Astyanax mexicanus: one gene and its partners. The protein of the gene in region 2 purifies or fractionates together with the protein of the main gene of each other region. This does not show direct contact. Links are inferred from orthologs where the notes say so. Each region holds a gene or a part of one and is shown on either strand. Other genes may lie near its edges.

What was found.
Region 1: the proteins of kif23 (region 2) and racgap1 purify together in Homo sapiens (co-immunoprecipitation; 10 studies listed by BioGRID and IntAct, counting the BioPlex papers as one, with this or other methods). This does not show direct contact. The link is inferred for Astyanax mexicanus from reciprocal best matches to the Homo sapiens genes KIF23 and RACGAP1.
Region 3: the proteins of kif23 (region 2) and shcbp1 purify together in Homo sapiens (affinity purification with western blotting; 9 studies listed by BioGRID and IntAct, with this or other methods). This does not show direct contact. The link is inferred for Astyanax mexicanus from reciprocal best matches to the Homo sapiens genes KIF23 and SHCBP1.

The regions. Positions count from the first base shown.
Region 1 is NC_064420.1:6,132,822-6,137,683, forward strand, and holds the start of racgap1 (rac GTPase-activating protein 1), read right to left. Parts: upstream 3,045-4,862; 5' UTR 2,885-3,044; intron 1,550-2,884; 5' UTR 1,547-1,549; coding exon 1,462-1,546; intron 1,353-1,461; coding exon 1,150-1,352; intron 973-1,149; coding exon 830-972; intron 720-829; coding exon 650-719; intron 560-649; coding exon 506-559; intron 394-505; coding exon 316-393; intron 1-315.
Region 2 is NC_064416.1:24,630,556-24,635,417, forward strand, and holds the start of kif23 (kinesin-like protein KIF23), read right to left. Parts: upstream 3,447-4,862; 5' UTR 3,335-3,446; coding exon 3,321-3,334; intron 936-3,320; coding exon 869-935; intron 728-868; coding exon 599-727; intron 282-598; coding exon 176-281; intron 85-175; coding exon 1-84.
Region 3 is NC_064430.1:24,491,965-24,496,826, reverse strand, and holds the start of shcbp1 (SHC SH2 domain-binding protein 1), read left to right. Parts: upstream 1-1,379; 5' UTR 1,380-1,557; coding exon 1,558-1,714; intron 1,715-2,877; coding exon 2,878-3,093; intron 3,094-3,354; coding exon 3,355-3,470; intron 3,471-4,322; coding exon 4,323-4,531; intron 4,532-4,862. Other genes in the region: pop4 (ribonuclease P protein subunit p29), read right to left, coding at 162-214, 528-534. UniProt on the Homo sapiens protein: May play a role in signaling pathways governing cellular proliferation, cell growth and differentiation. May be a component of a novel signaling pathway downstream of Shc. Acts as a positive regulator of FGF signaling in neural progenitor cells.

The DNA of each region.
Region 1 (4,862 bases), on a different chromosome or scaffold from region 2:
AAATTCCTCAATTGATCTGGAGCAGAGAACCCAACTACAGGTGTGAAATCACCCTTGACCTCAGTGTAACCCTTCAGGCTCTGCATAATAAAATCATGACACTTAAAAAATGACTGGGTCTGAACTATGTCTGCAAAAGCAATACTGTTGCCTTATATTTGGAGAAGGTCCAATTTAACATATACTAAATGAGATGGTATAACCAACATCTGCTGTAGCTGAAATTACATTAAAGTTGAAATTAAAAGTTCTTTGGGGAACTCTTAGTGAGAAAATGGACGTTATAACATTACATATACATATATGGTCTTTTACCTTTTCAGAAGTGCGGCCAGTGGATCGAGACCGCTTGGCAGCAGCTGGTGGACCTTCAGTGTGGTTTCGGGAGGAGCGCTACAAAAAAATAATAATAATAATTTATTTAAAATCACATATTTGCTTTAAGGAATGTCCAAATTTCATGAACTGGGTTTTATAGATGAATATACACAAGTCATCAGCTTACTCTCTTCTGACGTTTCTTCAGTCGAACAGTTCTGACAACAGAGGAGTCCCAGTCCTGTTGAGAAAACAACAAATCAAATTATGTTTATATGTTTAACTCTATGGAATAAACAGCAAAAATTAAAGTCAATAGAAAGTTAATTACCAACGAATCATCAGTTTTATCATAACTGATGTCTGATAGGATTGAGGCAGATTCATCAATGGTGGTCAACCTACAGAAAATTAATGTTACAATTTAAAAAAGAGAGATATTTTAGCAGCTTATTCCTAAGCTTGAGTGTGACATATTAATAAACAGTGATATTATTTTTCTCTCCCTCACCTTCGGCTGCTGTTGAGATTAGCAGGTGTCTGAGAGCGTGCATTAAGAAAAGCCAGGGCTGAGCGTTGCTCATCATTCAGCTGGATGCTATTGCTAGAACCCTCCGTGACCAGCAGATCTCGGATCAGCTGGATCTGACGATCCTGTGGACAACAAAAAAGAAAGAAAGAAATTATTTACTGGGTTTACTCTAAGAAAGCCCTACTTCACCAGTTACTGAGCTTTATAAAGCAACCTATGCACTCGTGGAATGAATGGAAGGCAAATGTCAATCAGCATTTCTGTCTGTCTGGTATGTGCAATGTCTCCAGGTCACATACCAGCTTTTCGCAGTCTGCTTCAGCTTTTTGTCGTCTCCGGATTTCCACGTCCACTTGGTTACGAGCGTGTTTAAGTTTGACCTCCAGAGCCCCTCTCTCAGTCTCCGCCTTGGCAAGCACCTCCTTACACGAGGCGAAATCCTGCTCCACTCGGAGCCATTTACGCCGACAGTCCTCAAAGTTCAGGGCCATCTGAATGAACTCTATAAATACAAGCGTAAGTGTAAGGAAGACTGTTCCCATGATACCGCTGCATATACACACATGGCAGGTTGTATTTATGTGTAAAATAAACAGTGTAATTCAACTCACGAGGCTCGATGCTTTCACTGAGGACGTCAACATGGGCTCTTAGATTTTCAAAAATGCCAAAAAGGTTCATCACAGCAGTGTCCATGTTCTACAAAGAATAATAAAAAATTAAAAAAACAGAACTGATTCTACAAAGGCTCTGTATATATTTTTTTTTTGAATAACTGACAAAGATGTTAAATTATTAAGTTCAACAATCCTAAACAATTATTTATATTTATATATATATATATATATATATATATATTATATATATATATATATATATATATATATATATATATATATATATATATATATAAAGGTTGTATGAAACTTTGTACAGAGTTCTCCCAATGTAATATAAAATACAAAAAAAGAAAGAGTTAGTCATTGAACTCTTGTCCAACTTAGTCACATGTAGCACTTTATTTTTGGTTGTGTCTGCCAGCATGATCAAGCTGACCACGCTAAATAACTAGTATGCCCAAGCTAATCCAATTAAACTAAAAATTAACAAATAGGTAGCCGAATCTTGCCAGGTGTTCTGTCGAGTTATGCTACCCATCGATACGTGCTTCCTAAAGGCACTGCGCATGCGCTGACCTACACCTTTTGATTATTTCTCGTTTTATTTATATATATATATATATATATATATATATATATATATATATATATATATATATATATAATAAATGCTTTTTTTGTTTGTGCATTAAACAACTTGGACTCACTGTCATTGCACTAAAGTGTGAATAAAAGTTACATACAATAATTATAAAAGACTTATACAGGGAACATGCTCTAATACGGTGCTTGTTTTGTATTTTTACAGTTAAATATACACTAGAGTAGCCCACAAGTTAGCACAACTCACCACAATTCTGTTCTAACAACAACAACGCTGTTGTAACAACAACAAGTTAAAACAGCCTTTACATTGTTACCTAGCTTGGTAAAGTTAGCTAGTAACGTTAAACTCGCTATAAACAGACCTTAGCTACGTTATAATACAAACATTAGATAGTTAACGTTGACATTTTATACAGTTTTAACATCACAAACAGTTCGCTAAAATGCCTACAAAATAACCTTAAGTAACGTTAGTTAACTTGACCTAGCTAGCGTTAGTTAGCTAGCTAAGCTAACCGACTGTGTAACTTGCACAAGTCAACCCCAAAGCAAGGTGAACGCACATTAGCTAGCTAAGCTAACTAACTTAGTTCTAAGGAATGCAGTTAGTTAATGTAACGCTCAAGAAAATATAGTAAACATATCAGCTAATGTGGTAATCCTGTAACGATAAATTAGCAGCGGGTTCTGTGTTGTGCGGTGATTTTAAACAGATTCACACAGTAACTACAGTTAATCCCGGTGCTGTTGAACAACAATAACAACTATTATTGCGGTAAAATCTGATAAAACCCGGTAAAATACTCACCTCTGCGCTGTGTCCTCTCGCTGTGATCTGTTCTGATGATATTAATCAGGAGGAAATTGGGAAAACCCGCTGAATTACACTATAAATCGCTGCCTGCCCATCAGAGCTGGGTCGGTCTGAGCACAGCGCTAACGGATTAGCAGCGAGTGTAGTTACATTTCAAATTTACCCGCTAGCCAATGAGCGCCAAGCTGCGCAGGCGTGAACAGTGAGGCAGAGCGGGGGGCGGAGTCTCATTAAACTTTGAATTATTTTTAACTCCAAAGACAACATTTGTTATTTTGAATTAAAAAAAAAAAAAACATTATGTATAAATATTACATATCCTTTTCTTTTTGTGAGTAAAAGTTATATTTATAAGGAAGAACTATTAAATAATACATAAAAATATTTTTAAGCTTATATCATAAAATAACTCAATAATTACTACATTTTTAAAAAAGCTATGATGGATTTTTTTTCAACAAACACATGTGATGAAAAAACTGAAGCTTTGTGTGTCTATATTTTTTTTCCCTTAAAATTATATTATTTGTATTTTCTTTAATAATAATATCTCGTTTTCTTTCAATTTAATTCAGTTCGAGTGAGTCCAAATTAATATAAAGCATGCTGTTTTCTTTACTTCTTTTTGTTTGTGTACAACTATTTTCTACTATTTTTAGCTAAAAAAATGACTGGCTTGACTTTGACTAGCATTGTATATTCTATATTGAAATGTAAACAAAGGAACTAAATAAAATAACTAAAATATCAAAATAACCACAAATAAAGTAAGGTAAAGAAAAAATATCATACAATATCTAATTTGTTTTTATCTTCTTATATATGAGCATAAACCTCCATAAAGCAAAATGCAGTATGGAATGTTTATTATATTTTGTCCTTATAATATATTTTTCCTTCTTTTCCCCCTTATTTCCCCACTACGTTTTATTGCCCACTTCAGCAGCACAATAAATCTGTTTTACTAAGCTCCCTGCTAGTCTCTCTCCTCTTGCGTTTTCAACCCAGAGAGGCTTCGCCTGAAAGAGCCGGATGGTGGCAGCAGAGAATAGAAAACCCAACACCAGCTGCCAAAGCTTCACCTGAACCTCCCCATCAAAAACTTTTACAGTTTTCTGGATTGTTTACACACATTTTCTGAAAACATGCCTCATATTCTCAGAACTCTACACACAAATCCAACAAAAACGCACACAATGGGCAAAATCCTTCAATTCTCCTGCAAAATGAAACTTTACATTCAAAACAGTGTTATATTTTCACAAAAGGCTATTTTGTGTTCAGATGACACACAGAAACCATCATATGAACAGACAATTAAAAGAAGCAGTTGAACACTGACGTGCTCAGTGTAAAACACCATTCTCCATTCATCATAATGACATACAGACAGTAAACACATAAGTGCGTTGTAAAATATTAATTTTTTTTTTTTAACTCAGAACAGACAAATACACAGTAAAATAATAATTTTATTTTTCCAACAAAATGTACACATGTACAATGCAACCAATACAAAGATGCAGTGATTTACATACAAAACAACAGAAGAGTTTATTGTATAAAATTACAGTAAACAAAAAAACTATGCTGCATCCTGTCTTCTGTTTTAGTCTGGCCACAGCATCTAACCAACATCACAAGCAATCCAGCTATTCAATGCATCAACTGCTATATCTCCACATGCATATTCTATAGCTTGGAGAAGGGGTATATCCGTTTGTGAAGTTAGGTCATACACTTTCCATCTCCAGGCGGGAAAAAAATCATCAATAGGATTGAGGAATGGAGAATATGGGGGGGAGATATACAACTGACAAGAGTGTGTGGGCAGTGAACCAGTTATGAACCAAAGCAGCCAGGTGGATACTTACTTTGTCCCAAATGACAACGTGCCTGAGCTGCTCTGGGCCAGCAATCTGATCAGGTGGAATGAGTGTGTTGTGTAGGGTGTCCAGAAATGAGAGTAAGA
Region 2 (4,862 bases):
GAGGCAGGAGGCCACCCTGGCCCGGGGAACCAGTCATTGTGTGGGTTTTTCCACTGCCAGTAACACCATAGGTGAAGAGAAGACCTGTTTTAAATAAACAAATATATTGTCTTACATATGTTAGAAAAATAAACCATGCTGAAAAATCGAAATCAAGCAAAAAGTCCAAGTTTACCATTTTTACAGTGAATAAGGTCATCCACAAGAGGTTTGGCAACATCTTCAAACAATTCCCGCTGTGTGGTTTTAATTCCAAAAACTTTCTTGAAGGAATATTGAGTCTGCAAAGTAACAATAAAGATAAACTCAATCAGCGGAGGTCACACTGACTTCAACATGTTTACTGTATGCAACTATAACACACAAAATGCCAGTTTTCTGAACAAAATGTTCAGTTTAAAAAAAAAAACAAAAAAAAAACAATATAAATTAAACTTAATAATTTCGCCTCATCTAAAGAACTAATATTGAATTAATTAAGTCTGAAGCACTGTTTAACTGTAGTAAACGCAATATTCTTTTTATAATGTAATACTAATCTAGTTACTAATTTTTATTTTTATTCATGCTGTGGAAGATATAAACAAAACCATCTAACCTCTTTAAATTCCCCATTCCTGTTGGCTTTGAGTCCATCAGGGGCATGCAGCTGGATGGTAGTACTGCTGATCACCTCAACACAGCATTCTTCGTCATCTGCACCTAGTGGACGTACTCGACAGTACACCTTCCCAAGCACACACACAAAGGTTACACACTGTAATCACCATTTCCAGTAATGTGACAGGAGCACACCAAGATTAATGAGCTGATTACCAAAGATCATGCAATAAACATACTAAAAGGCAAAAATTAACATCAAACATACCCCAACCGGATCTTTCTGGTTGTTTGTTGGCTTTTTAGGAGCTGGTCGGCGAGGGGTCTTACCCTTTCTGTAATATAAAATGCGGTATATAGAAAGCAGGTAACGTTAACTATAGAGAACAGATAATGTTAATTGACCTGAACCAAAAGGTACATGCTCTGTTGGCTGAAGCAAGCAGGCGGTGGCACATTTTACTTTGTTTATTTTTCAATTCAAAAGTAAACCTGTTGACAGGTCTAAAAGTGGAAGTAAATCCCATATTATGAATTAAACAAGTTAAGTTTTTTTTTTGTTTTTGTTATTTAATGTTTTATTGGTTTTAAAGTAATTACAATGTACAGGAAAATAGCACATTAATCAATCTCAACAAACAAACTAACAAACAAACAAACGAAAAGATTTGCTAATAGCACACAAAAAAAGAATAAGCACCAGTGTTATAAGCACTAAAAAGATTCTATAAAATAAAGCAATCAATACAGAAGTATAAGAAATGTTGCATAGCTATAAGTCAATCGAGTTTAAATACTCTGCTGCCTTGTCCCACATTCCATAGTATAGTTTATATTTTGGGTTAAAAGAATAGGACACCCGTTCCATCAAAATGTTTTCCATTAAAAAGTTTTTCCATATAGTTAAAGAAGGTGGCTGTGTCTCTTTCCATGAAAGTAAAATAGTTTTACTTTTTTTGCCTATTAATGCAGAAGATAAAATCATTTTAGCTACTAAGTTACTTTGCTAAGTTTACATACAGAGGTGTCACCTAATATAATTAGTCTTGGAGAAAGTGATATTTTAACATTTGTGATTTTAGATAAATGTTCAACAATACTTTTCCAAAAAGGTAATACACATGGGCAAGACCAGAACATATGGATAAGTGACCCTTCTTCTCTTTTACATCTCCAGCACAGATTTGAAACATGAAGTCTGTAATCATGTAATTTCTGAGGAGTGTAATGTATTCTATGTAATATTTTCATTTGAATAGATCTTAGCTTCATACTAGGAGTTGAACATTTTTTGTTGCTCCATACTAAATTCCAGGAATTATCATCCAAGACTTCATTAATGTCAGTATTCCATACATTTCTAAGTTTGCTATGTGATGTTTTAAAGATTGGGCAATGATAATCTCTAATTTTCATATATAATTTGGATACAATTTTATTACGATTTTCAAAATCAAACAAAGCAGTTTCAAGTGAGGAAGGTTTAAAAGTAGTATTTGTATAAATTTGATCAATTGTTTTCTTTAGATGTAAAAATATATATGAATCAGAGGTGCCTATTTTAATTTTTTCTTTTAAACTGCGTAAATTTCGACTTTACTTAAGTTAGAGGAGGAATTGGCCCAACCTTTTTCATTGAAGGAGATTTTTCTTCATGGCCCTGCACCTTCTTTAAAACAAAACATCTTTTTTTCAAATGCCAACCGAATTTTTAAAGCTTTATGCAATATTTTTGAAATACGAAACAAACTTTTTTCAAGCTCAGGTCTATGGTATAATCCTTTATTTACATTAAATAAGAAACCATTACATAGTGTCGATTGGAGCTCCAAAGGTATAAACATGGTGAAAGACCTCTTTGAAAATGGCAAATTACTGAATTAAACAAGTTAAGTTAATAAGTAGCAACAAGTAAAATGACAAATGTTGAGACACCTGCTCTTTTATTACTTAAAAAAAAACTAAAAATATTTGGTGGAGTAGTTAACAATCCCTAATGTCCAGGAAAGGCTTTCCCCTTCAATACAATACTTCTCTGTGTGTGAATTTACACATAGGTGTCAGAAATAGGTGTAACTTATATGAATGCATTCCTTAGGAGTGCCACAAACGTTTGGACACCTAGGTTAGCTAGGTATTTGGAGGGGTAACGTTAGCTAGGCTAGCTACATTAAAACACCAGGTAACGTTAACGTTAAAATGTTAGGTTAAATTAGACAGTGTAACGTTATTTATTAAACAGATTATCAGTATAAACAGATGAGCCAGTTAACTGTGAGCTAGGTTAGCTAACTAGCTACGTTAAATAAATGTTATGATGGATAGCAAGACAAGATTAAAACAGCGAAGCTAAGCTAGCTAGCTAACGGATAACTTGCTAGACATTTGTGGTTTTAAGCAACGCGATGTCATATTAATAACCACAACTTACAACTCGGTTAAACCTCCTGACTTACTAATCCATTTTACATTATAAAATGTTAAGTTATCTGCGCACTATAAACTAACGCTAGTAGTTAAAGTTTTTCGAGTTAAGCTAACCAATTAACTGGCGACACAACGGGGAGGACGCGGGTTAGTCAGTTAGCGATAGTCAGCCGGTTAAGATACGCTGGAGTTGTAGGAGAACAGTGTTACTAGCCGTCTAAAATAAAACAGACTTTCCGGACAGGTTTATACAGTAAAACTCAGACTGTGACAGAGACACTGTAGATACTCACGTCGGCCGGATCATCCTGCGCTGTTTTTATTTAACTGTGAGCCGCTCCGCCGCTCCGCTCTCCTCACTGACACACAGTTCGAATCTTCCCTCCGCCTGAGTTTTCAAATCCACCAATCACAGCGCAGAACCAGCGCCTCGCGCTACCGGATGTCCCGCCTAACGCTGGGAACGTAACTTCCACAACAACAACAACATTAGAAATATTATAATAATAAAAATAATAATAAAAAAAAAAAAAAATAATAATAATAATAATAATAATAATAAAAAAAATAATAATAAATAAACACATAATAATAAATAATAAATAAATACTACTACTACTACTACTACTAATAATAATAATAATAATAATAATATTAAGAGGAAGAAGAATATTATCCACAGTTTCCTAAAATAATCTCCTAACTCATATTTAAATTTTTTAACACTCATTTAAAAAGTGTAAAAAATAAAATATTTGAATATTATAGAAAATTTTATAGAATATTTGATGCATTTTATTTTAGAGGTGATTATTTGGAACCAAGAAAATTAACTCTATACAGTATATACAATAGTTTGTGATATTAGGGAAATTTCATATTCACAGCATGAAATGGTTTCTCAAAACCGAATTTGATAAAAAATTTAAAAGATTTAAAACATTACATTCTGCTTGTAGAATATTTAAGTAATAAGAAGGCATTAAAAACAATCAATATTATTTAAGTTTTTCTTTCACTTTTTTAATATGCACATTTGAATCTTAAATTATAACGAAAAAAATCAACTAAGAGGATAGTTTATCATACAGTTGAGCAGTAGAACCATCCAGAAACAATCCTTATTCAACATTCTGAAAATACAGATAACAAAAACAGTTACATTTTAACAGCCACAAACTGTAGAACTTTTCTAGCTAGCTTAATGGTCTAAGCTATTTTGCTGACTGCAGACAAAATAAATCTATAAAACGTAATACTAAATATCTATGCAATATCTATAGCAAATAGCCTTTATTAATATGAAGTATAATATATTCTAGTACAAATCCCATCACTTACCAATTAGGAATGAGTCCCGTAGAAATTAATTTAGTGAAGGTAGCTCTGTCTTGGAAAGCTTTACAATTACAATTGCACAAGTATTTTTTTAGCTTTAGTCATACTCTTGACATAGACCATTATCATTAAGGTGTTGAATCAAATTATCTTACAAACTGAGGGTGTAGGCAATTTTACCACAGATGGCCAGCATAATGAGCAAATTATTTAGGCATAAAAGTCAATTTTGTAAAAAAAAAAAAAAACATTATGTATCATATTAATGAAATCTATTTGTATTTGTTACAACACAATTCATAGCTGTTATAGATACTTTTCAAACATACGCACAAATACTATACACAACACTACACAAATGGAATTGTGTATTGTTCGGTCTTTTGGACAATCACAATTATATATTATAAGCTGTACATTATACATACATGTAAATTCTCAAGTGAAATATACTGCATTAATCCAGCTTTCTTTAAAACAATTCAACAAACAAATAC
Region 3 (4,862 bases), on a different chromosome or scaffold from region 2:
GCTCTAAATGACAATATTTTTATTTGGAATTTGGGAGAAATGTTGTCCAACAATGTTCATTTTACTCAAACATAAACCTATAAATAGCGGTTCAAATAGCTTGGACTTATTGGTTTACTGTAAATAGAGCAAATCAGTCAGAACCTGAAAAGAACTCTCACCTGAACTCCTAGAAGTTTACCATCTTCTGGAGGAATACTGGAAAACGCTGCTTCTGTGAACAAGAAAAGAACAAAAAACAGCAATGACCGGCAAAGGAACACATTTCAGCTATTATGTTAAAAACATATAGTTTAGTGTTCAGTGACTTTAACAAAAAATAAAACAAAAACGAACCTTAAAGAACCTAAATCTAATGCTAGAGGAACGTTTAGTGTTATCTGGGGAAACAACAGCCCTGGATTGGTTATTTAGACTCAGTTCAGCAGGAAGACTCGGTTTACAACACACAACACTCACTAACAACCGCGCGTCGCTTTAATAAACCTGTTATTAATGTTATTAATACAATAATAATCCACACTTACCCGCCATGCTGGATCCACACCGGCTCCCCCAGTGCTGAAAGCCGATCACCGATCGCCAAGTCCGGTACGTGAGACCTGAGTAATCAACCGCAGCTTCCCTGATTCAGTCATTTCTACAGTACATGTGTTTTATGTCCTTTTTTAAAATACATTTTGGTTATAAATGTTATAAATTACTCAAAATTATTTCTAAAATGTCTAAATTTATAGTTAATAAAAATCATTTTTTATTTAGACCTCTGTATACTAATGTATTTATGTTTTTTACAAAAGACTTTCTGAGGTGTAGATGTCCTATAATGTTATAAACGGCATTAAACCTTTTTATAATAATAATAAAAAATACTTACCACTCCGTAAAGCTACAAAATTATTTCAAATTAGAGATTTAACATCTTTTTATTTAATACATTTTGAAGTGTAAACTTGTGTGTATAGTAAAACATTTTTTTCAGTTTTTGAGTTTTAAAGTCTGTCCCCTTTAAAAATAAAAAAGCATATGTTTCAGGTATTTTATGTAACATTATAGGTATGTATAAACAAAGAAAATATTTTATTTATTCTGATCTAGATCATTTAGTAAAAAGTTGTTTGCATCAAATTATGGTGCAAAATTGGACAAAAAATGTCAAAACTACACTATATTTAAAGCAAATAAAAATAAAAAAAATCGCAAGGTAATACACATAGACAAAAACAATCTTTTATTAATAATTTTATTTATAATTTTCTAATTTTATTTTTTTTATTTCTATAAAATCCACGTCTTTTACAAAAGCCCCGCCCCCTCTTGGGCGAAACCGCTCTCTATTGGTCCGCTGTCACCGGACGCCACTTTCTATTTGTCCGCGCGTTTGCAGGGTGGATTTGAATGCAGCTGATTTGAAGCGAGCAGTGAGGAGAGTTCAGTTATTTAGTTATTTTTATTTAATTTAAATTCACACTTTTTACACAGTTACGGGTTTATATGCGTGTTTATATATTTAGTTGATTATTTGTAGTATTTAGATTGTAGTTGAGTGTTTTTGAGATGAAGGCTGAGGGCGGTGGAGTGTGTGTATCTGAGGGTGGAGAGCAGCGGCCGGTGGATGATCAACAGCAACAACCGGACCAGACCGACCCAGAGCCAGAACCAGAGCCAGAGCCAGAACCTGAACCAAAACCGGCGCCCAGACTCTTACCCAGAGGTACCAGAACCGACTTACTGATTTACTAAGAAACTAATGCAGTACAGCGAAGTGTCAGTGAGACAGCTTAGAGATACAGCCAGCGGTTTAACACAACAACTTAGCTAGCACTAACTTACCAGCTAACGAGGTTAACAAACTAACGTTAGCTAGCTTACTTATAAGTAACGTTAAGTGATTGATTAATTAACTAACTAACTAACTAACCTAGCTAACTAAATAAGTAGTTATTATTTAATTAATGAACTAACTAACTAACTAACCTAGCAAACTAACTAACTAAAGTTACCTAAATAAGTATTTAAATAACAAGCAAACTAACTAGCTACCTAACTAGTTGACTAACTAACGTTACCTAGGTAACTAGTTAACTGACAAGTTAACTAACTAACTAGTTACTATCTATCTAACTAAATCACTAGTTAACTAACTAACTAACTTAGTTAACTATCTATCTAGCTAACTAAATCACTTTATACGGTCATGATAAACCTGGGAAAGTCATGAAATTCAAAAATAGCAATTTCCAAGGATTGATTAGTTTTGGAAAAATAAAAAAGACCTAGAACGTTTTGGAAAAGTCCTGAAAACCTTGTCCACAAATCCTTTATGTTTCAGTTTATTGAAGGAGAAAAGCTATTTTGAGCTACAAATACATCAGCTCAGAGTTAATTCAGTAATTTAGCCTTATAGAGTAGAGCTCTCAGGATCTGACACGCATTTTATTATTAAAGATTGAGTGTCAACATTTTTATCAGATTCATTTTAGGCCTACTATCTTCAATTTTGTTTTTGTGTCTGCACTGATGTTTTAAAAATCATATGGTCATGAAAATGTCCCTTGAAAAATCATGAAAATGTATTGGTTAAAACATGTATGAGCCATGAACATAACTATGACCATGAAAACTTAAAAATAAAACATAACTATAAAACCATTAACTGTGGTACTGTGTGTAGCAAAGTGCAGTTACAAATGACTGTTTATGTGGCCAGTTATGTTGACAAATTGATCCATCCTTAATAATGTCTCCATAAGCACAGAGCGGGATAACAGTAAAAATTCTGCAGAATTTCATTCAGAAAGTGAACATTTCTATGGGTAAAACGCAGGTATAGTGATGATATATCGCTGTAAGTGATGGGAACTCTTTCCTCTGTAGCGATGTTTCAGGATGACGAGCACGATGAAGAGGAGGATGACGAGGATGACGATGAAGAAGATGACAGCGGCACAGATGGGCTGTCTAACGATGAAAAGCTGTGCACACATTTACAGCGGGCCGAGGCGTTCGGGAGCGCGGGGCTGCCTCACATCTTCCAAACCAACCATCTGCTTTTCTACGAGAGATTCAAAGCCTATCAGGATTACATGCTCGGTAACTCGCTGCATATTAACCTCATCATCTGTAGATGTGTCACTGTTTATTATGTTCATAATCACATCTGCTGATCTCTATACTGAATAGATCAGCAAATGGATAAATACAGTATATATAATACTTTTTAAAATATTATATTAAAATTCCCTGAGGTATAATATATAAAGTATATAAAATATCTAAAATATAAATGTTTGACCTCCATTAGACCTCTGAAACCTCTCCTCACCCATCTCTGTCTCTGTCTGTCTGCTGCAGGCGACTGTAAACCTTCAGAGGTGCAGGAGTTCACTGCGGATTACCTGGAGAAGGTGGTGGAGCCATGTGATTGGCAGGCGCTGTGGCACACTGACATGGTTGATGTTCTAGTTGAAGTGAGTGCAAAGAGTATTTGCTCGTCTGCCTTTTCACACCTACACAAAATGACTAGTTTCTTTGATTTTACCAAATTGAAAACCTCTGGAATATAATCAAGAGGAAGATGGATGATCACAAGCCATCAAACCACCAAACTGAACTGCTTGAATTTTTGCACCAGGAGTAAAGCAGCATAAAGTTATCCAAAAGCAGAGTGTAAGACTGGTGGAGGAGAACATGAGTTATTCCACCAAATATTGATTTCTAAACATTTAAAACTTTATGAATGTGAACATTGTATATGAATATTGTTTTCTTTGCATTATTTGAAGTCTGAAAGCTCTGCAATTTGTTTGTTATTTTTGCCATTTCTTATTTTCTCCAAATAAATGCTCTAAATGACAATATTTTTATTTGGAATTTAGGAGAAATGTTGTCTGTAGTTTATAGAATAAAACAACAATGTTAATTTTACTTAAACATAAATAGCAAAATCAGAGAAACCTATTTAGAAACTGAAGTGGTCTTTTTATTTTTTTCTAAAGCTATATGAACTTGAGTGACATCCTTTTCTTAATCCATAGGGTTTAATATGATCTCAGCCCAACCTTTACAGCTATAAGAGCTTCAGCTCATCTGGAAAGGCTTTACACAGGTTTAGGAGTGTGTTTATGGAATTTTTTCTCATTCTTCCACAAATACATTCGTGAAGTCAGACATTGATGTTGGATGGGAAGCTCTGGTTATCAGTCTCTATTCTAATCCATCCCAGAGGTGTTCCATCAGGTTGAAGTCAGGACTCGACTGTGCAGACCAGTCAAGTTCTTTCACACCAGACTCACTCATGCATGTCTTCATGTGTTCTGCAGGTGGTGGATGTTGACTATAAGGAGCTGAAGGGGAAGGTGGAGCTAGTGGAGCCCCTGCAGTGCGAGTATCGAGGTTGTGACCTCACTGAGGACTCGGTGAAGACGTTACTGGAGGCCAAGCAGAATAAAGTCCCGCTGCAGGAGCTCCATGTGGTTTATGATGAATCCGGAGAATTCGACCAGACAGCTCTCGCTCTGGAACATCTCAGGTTCAGCTCTCTTACTCAGTTACTCACACACATAACCACACACTCTACATGGAAGGCACATGGAGATGGTTGGAGTTATGCAATAAGGAGTAACCATTTCAATTCATATAGAAATCACATTAAAATCAGTGGATGAAGATATAAATCTGTACCAGTGGTAACATATTTAGAGTTTATACTAAAAAAGAATGGAATGGTAGAAGCTTAAATTGAACTAGAAAAGGTTTTAATAATCAAAATTCTTGAATGTTTGACCAACGTTTTTATTTTCTTTTTTTTTTATTTTTTATTTTTTATTTTTTTTACATCCTGGCATAAATACCAACAAAAC